2 linked regions of the Pelodiscus sinensis genome follow. The protein of the gene in region 1 binds, or shares a complex with, the protein of each later gene. Links are inferred from orthologs where the notes say so. Each region holds a gene or a part of one and is shown on either strand. Other genes may lie near its edges.

What was found.
Region 2: the proteins of MYO5A (region 1) and SPIRE2 are in contact, whole or in part, in a crystal structure (PDB 5JCY), measured with the Homo sapiens proteins. The link is inferred for Pelodiscus sinensis from reciprocal best matches to the Homo sapiens genes MYO5A and SPIRE2. Residues at the interface, in NP_001369276.1 of Homo sapiens: Asp1551, Val1554, Arg1555, Thr1559, Ile1562, Asn1563, Lys1566, Ser1597, Gly1598, Leu1615, Thr1616, Asn1617, Phe1618, Asp1619, Leu1620, Ala1621, Glu1622, Tyr1623, Val1626, Asp1629, Leu1630, Gln1633; in NP_115827.1 of Homo sapiens: Arg404, Pro405, Arg406, Val407, Leu408, Leu409, Lys410, Ala411, Pro412, Thr413, Leu414, Met417, Glu418, Met420.

What each region holds. Positions count from the first base shown.
Region 1 is NC_134724.1:25,553,370-25,561,265, reverse strand, and holds the start of MYO5A (unconventional myosin-Va), read left to right. Parts: upstream 1-4,887; 5' UTR 4,888-5,006; coding exon 5,007-5,090; intron 5,091-7,896. UniProt on the Homo sapiens protein: Processive actin-based motor that can move in large steps approximating the 36-nm pseudo-repeat of the actin filament. Can hydrolyze ATP in the presence of actin, which is essential for its function as a motor protein. Involved in melanosome transport.
Region 2 is NC_134722.1:2,370,357-2,378,146, forward strand, and holds the start of SPIRE2 (protein spire homolog 2), read right to left. Parts: upstream 3,016-7,790; 5' UTR 2,914-3,015; coding exon 2,697-2,913; intron 1-2,696. UniProt on the Homo sapiens protein: Acts as an actin nucleation factor, remains associated with the slow-growing pointed end of the new filament.

The sequences.
Region 1 (7,896 bases):
ACCTGGTACTCTGGCCTGTATGCCAATGGTGTAGTCGGGAGTTGTACGTTTCTTACAGAAATCATGGATTCTGTAGTCTGTTTTGTTCCCTCCTTCCTTATTGGTGTCTTGGGATTCTTTCTGGTGACTGAATGGAGGCAAGAGCAGTATTTGAACCAATTTCACTGTGAACCATGACAGCAGGAACTCTCCTGGTTTATTAGTGGTTTGTCTTGTGTGCATGCTTGGGAAAAGGCAGACCATGAACTCCAGGATGTCTCTACTTTACTATTTGGTGGTGTTTGCATGTTTGAAAAAAAAGTCCTGAAACTACTCACAATGAGATAGTGATTGCTACTTACTGTGAGCAATCCCCATGGCTTTATGGAAGTAAGCAATATACCACCCTGTGTTTGTGGGATTGAGCAACTTCTTGACTGGTTTCACATTTGAGCTGCACCCAGTATGGAAGCTAACATGTTTGAGTTCTTAGGGCTTGACTGAATGCTCATTGATGTTAATAGCAAAGCTCCATTGACTTTAACCATCCAGGATTGGGACTTTAACACATACTATTGCTGTCATTGGGCTCAAGGCTGTTTGATTTCCAGCTATTTGAAAATATGCCTTATTCTCAGGGTATTATTTGGCATTGCCTAGGCCTTTATCCTGCAAACACTTAAGCATACACTTAACTTTATTCACTGTATTTCTGTTTACCTCAGTGGAAGTAATTACAGTGTGTAAAGTTAAGCATGCTTGTAAGGGTTAAGCCATAATTTGAATTGTGTTTAATTTTAGGAGATAACTTTATGGTCCCCAAGCCCCCAAAATAATCTAAGTGGGAAACAAATGAAAATGCCTCTTGGGGTGTTTCCTTGATAAATCCTTAATGGTGAGTATCTTGGGTATAAATACTTTTCTCCTGCTGCCAAGAAAAGAGCTTTGACTATTTATAGCAAAACCTGTTCATTTTCCAGTGTGGTGTCCAATTTTTCCAGACAGTAGTTGTGTCAATGACATAATTAATGGGCTTGACTACTTTTAACACGGACTACTCTTTGACTTTCACTCTGTGTGTGGGCACCATCTTTGTATGGCACATACTGAATCAGCACTTTGTGAGACACTGAATGGCTCTGTAATTTGCCAACAGAAAAGCATCCAGAGCCTTTGAGTTGGAGATCTTGGTGCACTGCATGCTTGAGGCACAGGAACAACTTATTACCTAGGGATATAAGCTATTAGTTGAGCAGTTGACTACCCAATAAGCCTAGCGTAGGCTTATTGGGTAGTCAAGTCACTGCTTGACTAGTCGCTTCCCCCATCCTTGCTGCCTCTGTATCAGAGGAGCAAGGGGGAGGAGCGGGAGCCAGTGCTGGGGGGAGCTGGCTTAAAAGCTGGCTCCCCCCAGCGCTGTCTCTGGTGGGGGGCAGAGGTGCAGCAGGGGACCCAGTGCGATCTGAGACTGAGCAGTCCCAGCTCACGCTGACCAATGATGCAGGTTTCACTTCCTGGCCCAAACTAATTAGAGAAAGAAAGACAATCTAAGAACATTTCTGTGTAATAGTAATAAAGTCTTTGTGCTTGGGCTACAGCTCCTTTGAGTTTATTAGAAGAGGAAACGATGGTAACACCAGGGCCAAGTATCAATAAGAAAATGGGGGCAGAATTTAGTGGTTACATTAGAAGATTAATAGTCAAGACTCCTATTCTGGTCTCCGCTAATATGCTGTGTGACTCTGGGCACCTCATTTCTTCTGTTTTTCCTATTTGCAAAATGTGTACTGTAATTTCTCTCACTCTAAAATTATTTTTCTTGCGGGACGACAGTGACATCATCACATTACTCTGCATCCCGCCTGCCTACTCCTTCCTTCCCCACCCTTTCCCCAGTGCTCGGGAGCCAGGATTGCTGCACCGTGGCCTCCCTCTTCCCTGATGTTTGGGTGAGAGCTGGGGGGAGAGTGCAGGGTCAGGTGTAGCCAGACAGGAACCCCCTTGTAACATCCATTTTTGCTTGCCTGGAGCATACAGGGCACACAGAGCAGAAGGCCCAGGCTGTGTGACCGTGAATGGCTATAAACAGAGATATGCCAATTGCTGACCAAGAGGCTGCCAAGGAGTGCCCTTGACTTAACCCATATTGATACGAACACACATCCATCCGCGGGGGGAGGAATCTCTCGCCCAGTAAAAAAAATGTCTAGTGCTCACAATTTAGTTATCTCTCTTGCAAGTGTAAATTAACTTGAAACTTGCTTGTAAGAACTGGCGCCACAAAACGGACCAGTAGAATTCGGCATCTTAGATAAGAAAGAGAATACGGGCCCCCAGGGGTATAAAGATAGGTCCAGCAGCGCATTCTCTTTGAGTGTCAATCTACCATCTATCTGCTGGTCGGGTTAGGTGTTTGATCTCCCGAGGTTCCAAGGGGACGCCCACCTCGTATTCGTCTTTCCTAGGAATTGAGAGACCGGCCCTGGCCTGACACGCTGGAGTCGAGAGGCACAGAAAGGGGTAAAAATTGTACCTGGATGTGGTCCTTTGTTTAAGTATATATATACATAGACTTAGAGCTCTTTAAAGATTAAGCTGTCACTTGGTACCATTATTTCTATTTTCTATCTTTATTTTCTTTGTAACCATTTTTAAAATCTGTATTTGTTAGCATTTAAGAAATAGAGCAATAGCCATTGTAACCATATGCTTTTATAAGTCTTTTAATAAACCTGTAACTGTTTAAGCTTTAACCTGACTCCTTCAGTTGCTGTAACAGAATCAAGCACAATTTAAAAGAACTTCAGCCGGTCATAAAGGGACAGACATAGGGAGAGCTTGGGCATTTGGATCTGTGTCACTCCCAGGTGACAAGATCCGTTAGGGCACCTTTCCAGCCTTTCCCAGGCTGCCCGCTGCGAAGGAACCCCTGTGTTCTAGCAGTTAAGATCTAAGGTGTAATAAGCTCTTTCTATATAACGGGGCGTCTGTTGGCCTGCTGGCCACCCTCTGCGACGGGACCCCGGTCCTAGCAGTAAAGACACGGACGTTAAACCTTTTCTCGGAAGCATACACACACACACTGCCCTGACCGTCGGCTGACATCAGGTGAGACCTTGGCCCGGACCCTCTCCGACCTGATGACCAGGGGGAGAGCACGGGACCTGGTGAGGCCTCAGCCCTCCTCGGTGGCTGGGGAGAGGTGGGGGAGAGCTGGGGCTGGCACAGCTTGGGGGAGAAGGAGGTAGAGCCAAGGCTGGCTCTACTTTCCCTCTACCTTCCCTGATGGCTGGGGTCAGGGGGAGAGCTGGGGCTAGCCAGGACTGGTGTGGCTGGGGGCGGGGGAAGAGGATAGAGCTGGGCTTTCCCAATCTTCGCTCCCTGTCGGGCAGCTGGGGAGGGAGAGAGGTGGGGCTGGTGTGTCTGGAGGAAGGGAAGCACAATAGAATTGTTTTGAAAACAGTCACCATCACTAACTGCTTAATGCCATCTCCACCTGCCAATGGTGGCAAGCGTTGGAAGGACAGAAGCATAAAAGGTAGTGGTGTAAGAGTAGGGAAGCTGAAACTTTGCTCAGTGATGGGTTCATTGGTAACTTGGGAAGAGTTGAGGACTGCACTTCACTTGCATTTGCTCTCCCTTTTAATGTGGAATCCATTATAGTTCCTTGCAAGGTGGAGCAGAGTCTTCTAAGGCTGCCTCTCTTTCTTAAAAATCTATGTGGCCACATGCTGAATTGGATATATTTCTGGGTTGCAGGCCTCACATTGGCACTCGTTATATAGGCTTGACAACGAGGGTGCAGATATTGACCAGAAGAGGTCTAATCCAAGTGTAATTGCAGGAGTATATTCAGGCTTGTTACCATCATGCTGTTTGGTAGAAGTGTTATTAATGAATTCTGTTTAATACCTTCCTTATTTCTTCCCGGTTGCTTATCAAGTCTGTAATCTTCAATTGACTTTTAACCTCCATGAAATAGTGGCTTCTGCTACAGCTATGGCTAGCACATAATTAATTAAGATGGAACTAATAATTAACAGGAGAACTGGCTTATTGAGTTGGTTTAGTTATTGAGAGATGTATGGCATAAGCGGGGCGGCCCGTGAGTATAGGCCAACTTGGCTGTGGCCTACGGCGCCGCCTTCAACAGGGTCCCTGGGATGCCCAATGATGATGTCACGAGGCGCCCGGGGTGCCCAATGATGACGTCACGTCGTTGAGGGCTGTGCAGGCGGGGGTGCCAATCGCGCGTTCCGCCTGGGGCGCCAGCTGCCACAGCCCACCTCAGGCCACCCCTGGGCATAAGCACAATTTATACAATTGAGAGCCTTCTAAATTACCTATTCTCCTGGTCTGATGATAGTCTGGGTTACAAAATTAAATGCAAAATGGAAGCAATGCTACTATATGTCTCATACCTTGCTTTAGTCTTCAGTGTAACAGGTGAGGGGAAAATTATAACTTCAGTTATCTTGGTGCATAAAGGTTCTTCCAATTCATGTTTTCAGTGTACCTGTAGTTAAATGAAAACTGCAGGTTTGTAATGTAGTTTTAAATAGGGAAAAGTGTAACGTGTATTTTCTGTAAGATTTGAGATATTTGCATATGAGCTCCTTATTGAAAACAGATAAGACAAATAAATCATTCATTGGTACTGGAATTACTTATGTTTTCTAGTTTCTCCATTTGATTATCACAAGACAGTGGGTTCTGCCATTTTTTTTTAGTGTCTTAAACAAAAAAACACACTCACTCTTTGTGTCCCTGGAGAAATAAGCTAAAATATGGTGAATCACTTAAACAATGAAGCAATTCATTGCCCCAGCCTGGCTTGTCACACGTTTTCCTTGCAGATTTTCATGGGTTATTAATGCATATCTTTAAAAGAAGATGATCTTAGTAGTTATGTTGCAGAGATAAGAGAGAGAGGCCGCGGCTGGCCTAGTTGTTACTGCAGACCAAGTGTGAACAAAGTGGAAATACTCTTCACTCCAAGTAAATTCCTTTCACATGAAAAGGAAACTATGACTGAGGTGCAAGATGCTGGAAGCGTGTACCACCAGAGGTACTGGGTGGTGGTAGATGATTTAGACTATATGTACATTAAAGTAAGTGTAATCTGTTGACTTTTTTCATGTTCTTTGTTTTAATAAAATCGAAACCTTTTGATATGGATACGCAGTCTCTGTGTTTGTACCAGTGCTTAATGAAAGTTTAGTTTTGATTTATTCTGATTCATTGTTAATAGCAACAAGATTCTTTCAAACATGACAGATGATGGTTTTATGGTTTGGGACTGGGTCTCTTTTTTGTTGGTTTCTTTTTAAATATCTCATGGGTTTTTTTCCCCAATAAGAGACATTAGCGCTTGTGGTATTGTATGTCAGTGTGTAATATTTGTTTTTATTATCTGTTTATTATAATGGGATTCATGCCACAGCAATCTCAGATAATGAAAGGCAACACAACATTGACTTGGTGACAGTAGCTGAATATACAGTATTTGTGAAGAAAAGGAATATAACTACTTATTGAAATATGGTACTGAATGAAATGCATCAGGAATCCAAATAGATGCATACTAACTTTTTAACAGTCACTTTTAATGTGGGTGGATAGCTCTAAATATTATTGTGACTCTTCCTATTTTATCAGACCGTTGAAGGTTCTGTGGGCTAGAATCTGATTCCAGTTTATGCTGGTGTAAACTGGGGTAACTCACTTATTAACAGTGGTATGTAGCAAAACAAGGTGCAGTCAGCTTGTGTGCTTCCCGGCGCAGCAACAAAGTGTATAACTAAGCACATTTTGGTCCCTTAGGGCTTTATCAAGGTGTGGCTTAAAAAGATGTTTTCAAAAGAATGGAATGTATGCGGAAAAAGTCCTCCAGCAAATAGGATGTGAGACTGTATCAGGTTTTGTCCTACTCTTATTTTTACATGCTAGTGCAAGTGGGTCATCAGATTAAAATAAACCAGGTAAAAATGTTGGCAGTTAGAATAAATGGTTTCTGAGCCTGGAAAGAAGAGTGGGGAGAGATGCACAGAATGCTGGGTGCAGAGCCAAGGTATAGATGATTGTGTGTCTTCCTCTGACCCCATGTTTTAAAACTTTGTTCTGGGCATTATCAAGATGGGACAAGTATCGCGTGCACTAGCATGTGTTTTATGGAAATCTGCCCAGACTGTTCCTCCGTGACTCAGAATGTGCTATGTCACAGGTGGCTATGCCTTAGAGTTCTGAATTGATATTATCTGTTAGTGGCTGTAATTGAGCTTCACTGTGTGGCAACAAGGTACACATGGCTTATTTTGAAAGGTTCACCGCTCTTCCCATGAGCCCGACAGCATCTTTGCTTAGCTCTCAAGTTAAAGTAATTTAATAGCCAGGATTTGCTGCACTGCTGTTTTAACCTTAGCACTATACACATACCTTTGTGGTTTAGTTCAGGTTTTACTGTAGTGAAAGTTGTGTCTGAGTAAAAAATGAGGGAAGCCCTCAGGATTTACTCACAAATTTGTAAGAAGACGTTTGGGAAAGTGCAATCTTTTCCTTGGTATTTTAACTGTTAGGTTATCCTAATGTAAAATCTAATGTTTCTCTTTACATGTGCACGTTCCCTTGTTTTTATCCTAACAGTTTATCAGTTTTCCATAGTCCAGAAGCTTTGCAAACATTTATGAATGTCGCCTCTAATAAGCCTGCAGGATAGGCTATCAGTTACTGCTCCAAATTTCCTTGAATAACTTCAGTTTCTCGCTTCTAGTGCTATAGTACACTGGGGTGCAGTATGATCACTATAACCCTTTATTTTCTCTTCCTGCCCTGTTAAATTCTGGACGTGCCAACTAATCCCATTAGAACATTGCAGATGGCTCAGTGCTAAATCAGTAGCAATGATACAAAAGAAGTGATTTCCACTTCCTGTATCTATGAACCAAGGGTTAACAGACAGATGCATTCACCACTGTCTATGTTCTCCATCCCCCCATCTGGAAGGCTCTGTAAGCAGGACATTGGCTCATAGCTGTTGGCAGAGTGAGTCAGTTCAGTTGTCTCATCAGCCTTTCCTGTACAGGTGAACTTGAAAGCTTTTTTGAAGGGGGGAGGGGAGAGGAATCTGTTTGAAGAGCCTTAAAATTAGTAATAGAATTTGGTGGTAAGGAGGAATCAATATAATTTTTATATTAAAAATGTTTTAACTTAGAGCCTTTCATTTTAATATAAAGACCTGATTTGAAGGTTCTGTACTACCCCTGCAAGAATCCATGACACTGTTAACAACTAAAGCAGAGAAGAGAAACACAGGGCTTCTATTTTGAGGATGTCATTTGGCAATTAACTTGAAGGTCTTGACAGGTGAGAGGAGGTGTGTTAAGACCCCCTTCTCTTTCACCTGACAAGATCTGAGTCAAAAGAATATTGTAAGAGTAACATTTTGACTTGAATTAGGTTGTTATAATTTGTGCAAATTTTTAATGCCCGTGAATGGTGTTTGGTAGTCTTGGACACTGAAGTTTTCTACATAGCTACAGTGATACCTAACCTAGATCCAAAGAGAGCATTGCTATTCATTCCTGGGCCTCTTAGATGAGAGTGCCATCCATGTTGCCTATTGGTAGCAGTTGTGGTACATCTTCTGATGGGAATATCAGAGCTAGTTTTCAGAGGACAGAACATCCCACTCATTACTGAATACCAAAGAGCCCACAGATGGTAATGAGTGTCAGTCATTATTGACTTGACTGTGGATTTGGACTAATGGCGTGATTTTTAGTATTTAGCTGTAAACCTATACATTCTTTAAATTTGTGGTTTTAACAAGTTGTTTCACTTCTCTTTTTAGAACTAACTTCTTTGCGTCTTAAAGTGAAGCTACTTAAAGAGTTAACCCTGAAACACTGACTGTATAAT
Region 2 (7,790 bases), on another chromosome or scaffold:
CTCCACGCAGCACAGCAGCATCGCTCCTCAGGGACCGTAGCTGTGATGCAATTCTTGGCCTCGTTCCCACGGACAATAGCAGCACCGCCTGTGGGCAAAACCGGCCAGAGCATCCGAATGATTTAATGAACCCGGGCGAACGTATTTTCTGTGGTGTGTTGAAAAGCAGCTTCCTTTTGCATCTGAGCACATAGTGATTTCATAGTGATTGCATCTGAGCACATAGTGATTTCATAGTGATTGCATCTGAGCACATAGTGATTTCACTGGCGATTGGCCTGGAACAGGCTCAGCCAGTTTTTGGAGGGTTGTGTGAAGAATTTTCAGTCAATATTACCCGAGTAACAACCCAGCCTCCTCCCAGTTCAGCGCGGAGGTAAACGCACGGCTCTGGGCCCGGCAAGGTGCCTTTCTGTTGTGTCAGAGGCAAAGAGCTGCACATTAGTGACGTGCGTTTGCATAAGGCACCTCATTTGTGTATAACTGTTTGTACAGGGAGCCCGCGCCGGCTGATCGCTGCCGGTGTTTATCCTCCCAAGTGTCAGGAGGAGGAGGAACTCACAGGTGGCCCAGGCGCGATAATTGGAATTGCTCAGCTAACTGCCACTTGAATCACCCTGATAATAAGAGTGTGCAAGGGTCAGTGTGTGACAGGCCAGGTGTGGCTGCCTGGAAGCTGTTGTAGTCAAGCGGAGGGCCTTGTGCATGAATTCCAGGAGTGAGGCTGTCACACAGCCAGCACAGGCTGCATGGGGGCTGCTTTTTAACCAGAAGTGATCTGATTTCCCCTCACCTAGCTTGAGAAGGCCGGTGGTCTCAAGCAGGACATTCTAGGGCTGAGAATATGAAGTCCCGACTGTCTCTGCTCTGCACACTCCAGCCGTGATTCAGGCTCTCCCTGTCAGCTTCCCCCTCTGGAAAAGCAGGCGAACACCCCACCGGGTCAAGGCAGACAGTAACACGGCCGTGTTTGTACAGCGCTTTGACAATGAAAAGTGCTATACAAGAATGATTACCATGATCCCTATTATTACAGGCATGCTAGCCTCTTGGTGCTGGCTTGAGACACTCACCAAACTGCAAACAACTTCTATGGGCATGGGGTGTCATTATAGACCATAAAACTACCCACGTTACGAAATGTGTCTTTGGAAGAGACACTGACCTCCTGGCTCACGGCTGGGTAATTAGCATAACCCAATAAAGTTCAAAGTTTACACATGTAGTGTAGCCCTCTCTGAGTCTTTGAATTTGTGTGCTAGCGTCTGCCGTTGCTGGCCAGATTGGGCCCTTCTTGACAGTGGCTGGAGAAAGATACATGGAAGGGCTAAGATTACTGGCAACTATAGCTCAAGAGTCCAACTGATTGGCACACCCCGTCTTGTGATCATCTAGATTTTGAATTTGTTCAGTATTGCTGTAGCCTGACCTCTCTCCAGGTCCATGTGACAAGTGCCCAACGTTTTACTGTCTTACTAAGCAACTTCCGGGTAATCGTGTATCTTTCTTCTCCAGACAGTGTTATATTCCCTTAATATTAAAGATGAGAGACAACCAGGGAAGAACAAGGATTCAGATGAAGCATCATGTCCTCACATGCCCCAGTATGGTGTGTATGGCCATTTTCTGCTTAGACACTACAGGGAACTGGTCATTCCCATTATTAATGATAATTACTGTGCTTTCACCCTTCCACATGCATGCATTCCGTGCGCTTTGTCTCCACTTTCCCATAATATCGTTTTGTCGGTGAATTTCTTAACTCACAGATTACTACCCGCCAGTTTCCAACCCAAAGAGCTAGAAAATCTGTGGAGCGAAATACTTGGAAGTCTCTGGGTTAAATGCAATAGAAGCCTTCGGCCCCAGGCCTGTGTTCTAGGGTCAACCAACTTTCCTGCTCTTCAAAGGAGTTAAAGCTGTTTTCCTCCATGAACCCAGAGACCTCAGATTTTGTTCATGGCGGGGGTTTAAAAAGAGCCAGAGAGGGGATCCCCAGATGCCCTATCTCCCGCCCCCCCAGCCAGAGTGGTGGGTTTCAGGGCCCCCCTGCGGCACTGCCACCAAGCCCTGCCAATGCGGGTTTCCAATGGACAAGCCTGACACCCCGGGTCACAGCGTCCCAGCGGCGCAAGGTCATTTGGCTGCGTTGCAATCCGGCTGGGCAGGGCTGGCTGCTCCACCTGCCGCCCGGCCTGCAGGCATCTCGGAGGTCGCTCCGGCCGGCCGCGGGGCTGCCCCGGGCAGTGCCCAGTCTGCTGGAACTCCCGGGCCCTCTCACAGCTCCGGGGCAATGGGCCTAGGCGCACCCCACAGGCCCTGGGGCCGGCGGAGCAGGGCTGGGAGCCACAGCCGGGAAGCCACCGCGCCCCTCGGCCGCTGCGCCCCGGAGAAGCAGCTGCCCAGGGGGAGGGGCCGGGCGCCCCCTGCAAAGGACGGGGCGGGAGCTGGGACGTGGGGCCGGGTCAGCAGGCGGTGAGACCCCCCCCTCCCCGGGGTCCCCGCCAGGAGCTCCCCGCGCAGCCCGGCCTGGCTCGGCCTCGCCCCCCCGGCGGCTCTGGAAAATTCCCCTCCGGAGGGAGCGATCCATGGCTGCGGAGCCGGCCGCACGCGCGGGGACCCCGGGACCCCCCGCTAGCCCCCAGCGCTCGTCTCGGCATGGGGGGCCCGAAGCCACCGGCCCGGGGGACACTCACCGGCCGCGCCCTGCGCCCCGCGGGCGGTCACCGCCCCATCCTTGTGCAGCAGGATGTCCGCCGTGTCCCGGATCCGGCCCGCCGGCCCCCCGCGGCAGCACTGGTAGCACACGGCCCACGCCTGCTCCTCGTTGATGGGCTGCTCGTAGGACTTCAGCACCTCCTCCAGGGACAGCGCCCCGGGGCCCCCCGCGCCGCTGCCGCCCGCCTGGGCCATGGCCGCCCCATCACGGGCCCGGGCGCGCCGGGCTGCTTGCCATGGCAGCGGCGCCGGGCGGCCGCGGCAGGAGGGGGAGGGCTGCGCCCGGCTCGCCGCTGCTTTGTCATCCCTGCAGCCCAGCCCTCGGCCCGGCGGGCGGGCGGGGCGGCAGCCTGTGGACCGCCCAGGTGCGGGCGGGGTCAGTGCGCACGCGGGTGGGGCGCCCCGGGGTGCGCCTGGGGCCTGGGCGGCCGCTGGGGGCGCCCCTTGCCGGGAGAGCCGCAGGTGGCGGGCCGGGGTTAGCCACGCCCCGGGGCGGGGGAGGGAAAGCGGCTGCAGGGGCCAAGCCCGGGCCGGGAAATGCCCGCGCTGGTCCTCGGGGTGTGCCGTTCCTGGCCCCCCCCCAGGGCTCCTGGGCACCTCTGCAGGGCTGCACCCAGGGGCGGCCCTAGACTAGCTGCCAGCACCTGGCGCCCTGGGCGAACCATGCGATGGCACCCCTCCCCCCCAAACCCCTCCATGATGTTGGGCCACCATTTGGCGCCCCATTTAACTTGGCGCCCTAGGCCACTGCCCAGTTCGCCTCTATGGACGGGCCGCCCCTGGCTGCACCCACCGTCCCACACCCTGCCCCTGGCCTGAGCCTCCACCCTCCCGCTGGTGCACGGGCAACGTCGCCCACCTGCAGAGCGTGTTTTTCATTGAGAGCTTCAGCACGCCTGCCCACCAGCCCCCGCTCCCCTCAGTCCTCTGCCCCTCTCGCCCTCCCTGCCCCCGCTAACCCACACAGTGGGGTCACCCCGCCTAGAGCGACCCTGCAATTAAAAACCCGGAGCCGGAGCCCCGTGAGGTGGGAGGCCCCGTCTTGCGGGCTCCAAGTGAACAGTCCCTTAGCGGGAGCTTTGTGCACCTGAGTCAGCCAGCACAGGCCAGCCCCGGGGTCTAACCGCAGTGTCGACGCCCCCCTGCAGCTTTGTAAATTCCTCAAGGAAGGGACACTGGCCTTTCTGTTGGGCAGCTCCTCAGACACACCCGGCACTGTTAAACACACACACTAGTACAGGAGTGCCCTGCCCACGAGCACCCATCTAATCCCACCCTCCTTAATCCCTTTACATATCCATGGGCAGGCCCTGACATTCCTTGCAAAGTCATAAGAACAGAAGACTGGCCAGACTGGGTCAGACCGAAGATCCTTCCAGCCTAGTATCCTGTCTGCCAACAGTGGCCAATGCCAGGTGCCCCAGGGGGAGTGAATCGAACAGGGAATGATCAAGCGATCTCTCTCCTGCCATCCATCTCCACCCTCTGGCGAACAGAGTCTAGGGACACCATTCCTTACCCATACTGGCTAATAGCCATTGATGGACCTAACCTCCATGAACTTATCTAGTTCTCTTTTAAACCCTGTTATAGTCCTAGCCTTCACAGCCTCCTCAGGCAAGGAGTTCCACAGATTGACTATGCATTGTGTGAAGAAGAACTTCCTTTTCTTTGTTTTAAACCTGCTGCCCATTAGTTTAATTTGGTGGCCCCTAGTTCTTATATTATAGGAACAAGTAAATAACTTTTCCTTATTCACTTTCTCCACACCACTCATGATTTTATAGACCTCTAGCATATCCCCCCTCCATCTCCTCTTTTCTAACCTTAAAAGTCCCAGTCTGTTTAATCTCTCCTCATATGGGTCCTGTTCCAAATGCCTAATCATTTTAGTTGCCCTTCTCTGAACCTTTTCTAATGCCGGTATATCTTTTTTGAGATGAGGAGACCACATCTGTACGCAGATCTGTGGGCGTACCATGGATTTATATAAGGGCAATAAGATATTCTCCGTCTTATTCTCTATCCCTTTTATAATGATTCCTAACATCCTGTTTGCTTTTTTGACTGCCGCTGCCCACTGCATGGACATCTTCAGAGAACTATCCAGGATGACTCCAAGATCTCTTTCCTGATTAGTTGTAGCTAAATTAGCCCCCATCACGTTATATGTATAGCTGGGCTTATTTTTCCCGATGTGCATTACTTTACATTTTGCCACCTTAAATTTCATTTGCCATTTTGTTGCCCAGTCACTCAGGGTATGTCTACACTACAATGTTAGTTCGAACTAACGGACGTTAGTTCGAACTAACATTCATAGCCGCTACACTAGCGCGCCGCTAGTTCGAATTTAAATCGAACTAGTGGAGCACTTAGTTCGAACTAGGAAAACCTCATTTTACGAGGATTAAGCCTAGTTCGAATTTACTAGTTCGAATTAAGGGGTGTGTAGCCCCTTAATTTGAACTAGTGGGAGGCTAGCCCTCACCAGCTTTCCCTGGTGGCCACTCTGGCCAACACCAGGGAAACTCTATGCCCCCCTCCCGGCCCCGGACCCCTTAAAGGGGCACGGGCTGGCTACGGTGCCCGTGCCAGGTGCAAGCCTGCCAGCACCCAGCCAGCAGACCCTGCACCTGGCACGGCACAGAGCCACCCACCCGATGTCCCCCAGCCCACCCCCTCTTCCCGGGACCAGGCTGGCGGCTCCCGGGAGCTTGCCCTGGACCGCAAGAGGTGGGCACCTTCCTGGGCTAGTGCGGACATCGTGGACCTCGTCCACGATCTCCGCACTAGGCACAGGAAAGTGGCCAGCTAGGGCAGGAGAGCTGCCAGCCTGGCCACCCAGGAGCAGGTGTGCATGAAAATCAAGGGGGTCCACTGAGACCCCCGACCCTGAGCCCTGAGCTTACAATGACCGTACTGGGTCAGACCAAAGGTCCATCTAGCCCAGTAGCCTGTCTGCCGACAGCGGCCAACCCTAGGGACCCTGGAGGGGATGGACCGAAGACAGTGACCAAGCCATTTGTCTTGTGCCATCCCTCTCCAGCCTTCCACAAACTTTGGGCAGGGACACCACTCCTATCCCCTGGCTAAGACTACTCCATGGACCCAACCTCCATGACTTGATCTCACTTCCCTTTAAACTCTGTTCTAGTTGTAGCCTTCACAGCCTCCTGCAGCAAGGAGTTCCACAGGTTAACTATTTGCTTTGTCAAGAACAACAACTTTCTCTTACTAGTTTCAAGCCTGCTACCCATTCCTTTCCTTTGGTGTCCCTTAGTCCTTCTTTATGGGAACTCAGGAAGAACTTTTATGAATGCACCCTCTCCACCCAACCCCTGCTTTTAGAGACCTCTATCCTGTCCCCGCTCCATCTCCTCTTTTCTAAGCTGAACAGTCCCAGTCTCTGTAGCCTCTCTTCATCTGGGACCTGTTCCCAACCCCTGATCGTGTTAGTTGCCCTCCCCTCTCCCAGCCTTTCTCTTCCCCTCTCCCACCTCCTTTTCCCAGTCTCCCCCAGTTTTGTTCAATAAAGACAGAATCAATGTTGGAAGAAACGTTATCTTTATTTTGTACATCAATAAGAAGGGGGGCTAGGGAAGGGTAAGTGGAAGGAGGTGAGGGAGGAATGGGGTACGAGCCCCCGATGGGGAGGACTGGGCTGGCTCTGCAGGCTTCTGGGGGTGGAAGCTCTCCTGCAGCCCCCCGATTGCTCCCTCTCCCCAGATGGCAGCCTGCGGCAAGTGCAGCCGGGCTGATGTCCGAGTGGTGTGATGTGCCCAGTGTGGGTACTCCGGGCACTCCAAGCCAGGACTGCTTTGGAAGCGGGGCACCCCTGAGAACTGTCTGTCCGGGGTGGGGGTCGGGACCCTTTAAGCGCAGCCCTCGGCTAGCCTGAGACAGCATCTCCACGCTCTAAGTCCTCCTCTGATGCCCTGCCGGCACTGCTTCCGGCCATCCTTAAGCCCTGTTCAGAGTCCACTCAATGTGGACTTGCTAGTTTGAATTAGCAAAACGCTAATTCGAACTAGTTTTTAGTTCTAGACGCGTTAGTTCGAATTAGCTTAGTTCGAATTAACTAATTCCAACTAAGTTAGTTCGAACTAACTCTGTAGTGTAGACATACCCTCATTTTGGTGAGATCTTTTTGAAGTTCTTCACAGTCTGCTTTGGTCTTAACTACCTTGAGCAGTTTAGTATCGTCTGCAAACTTTGCCACCTCACTGTTTATCCCTTTCTCCAGATCATTTATGAATAAGTTGAATAGGATTGGTCCTAGGACTGACCCTTGGGGGACACCACTAGTTACCCCTCTCCATTCTGAAAATGTACCCTTTGTTTCCTGTCTTTTAACCAGTGAAAGGATCTTCCCTCTTATCCCATGGCAACTTAATTTACGTAATAGCCTTTGGTGAGGGACCTTGTCAAAGGCTTTCTGGAAATCTAAGTACACTATATCCACTGGATCCCCCTTGTCCACATGTTTGTTGACTCCTTCAAAGAACTCTAAGGCTATGTCTCCTTGCGCAAGGAGCCCTCTCTTACCACGCCGTACTGTAAATTTCCTTGCGCAATTGCGGGCGGGCAGTGTGGACGCTCTGCAGATTCTTGCACAAGAACGCCCGTACTTGCTCAAGAAGCCGTGAGTGTAGACATAGCCTAATAGATTAGTAAGACAGGATTTCCCTTTACAGAAACCATGTTGACTTTTGCCCAACAAATTATGTTCTTCTACATGTCTGACAATTTTATTCTTTACTATTGTTTCAACTAATTTGCCCAGTACTGACATTAGGGCCGTAGTCTCTATGGCAATAAGTCAAGGCCATTGTCTCTATTGCCTACAGCAACTGGCCAAAGCACAGAGCAACAGGCCTATAGCGTTCTGGGCCAGGAAGTGCAGCAGCAGTCTGGATGCAGGGTGGGCTAGGATGGTACAGTATAACCCCCATCTGGGTTTGTCTAGGACTCACTTGAGCATTGTAGGTTCTCGGCGTGCACAGCGCAGGACCTCTGCTTTGCTTTTCATCTGAAAGCCAAGCATCTTGCTCTGCGGAACGCTCTCTCCC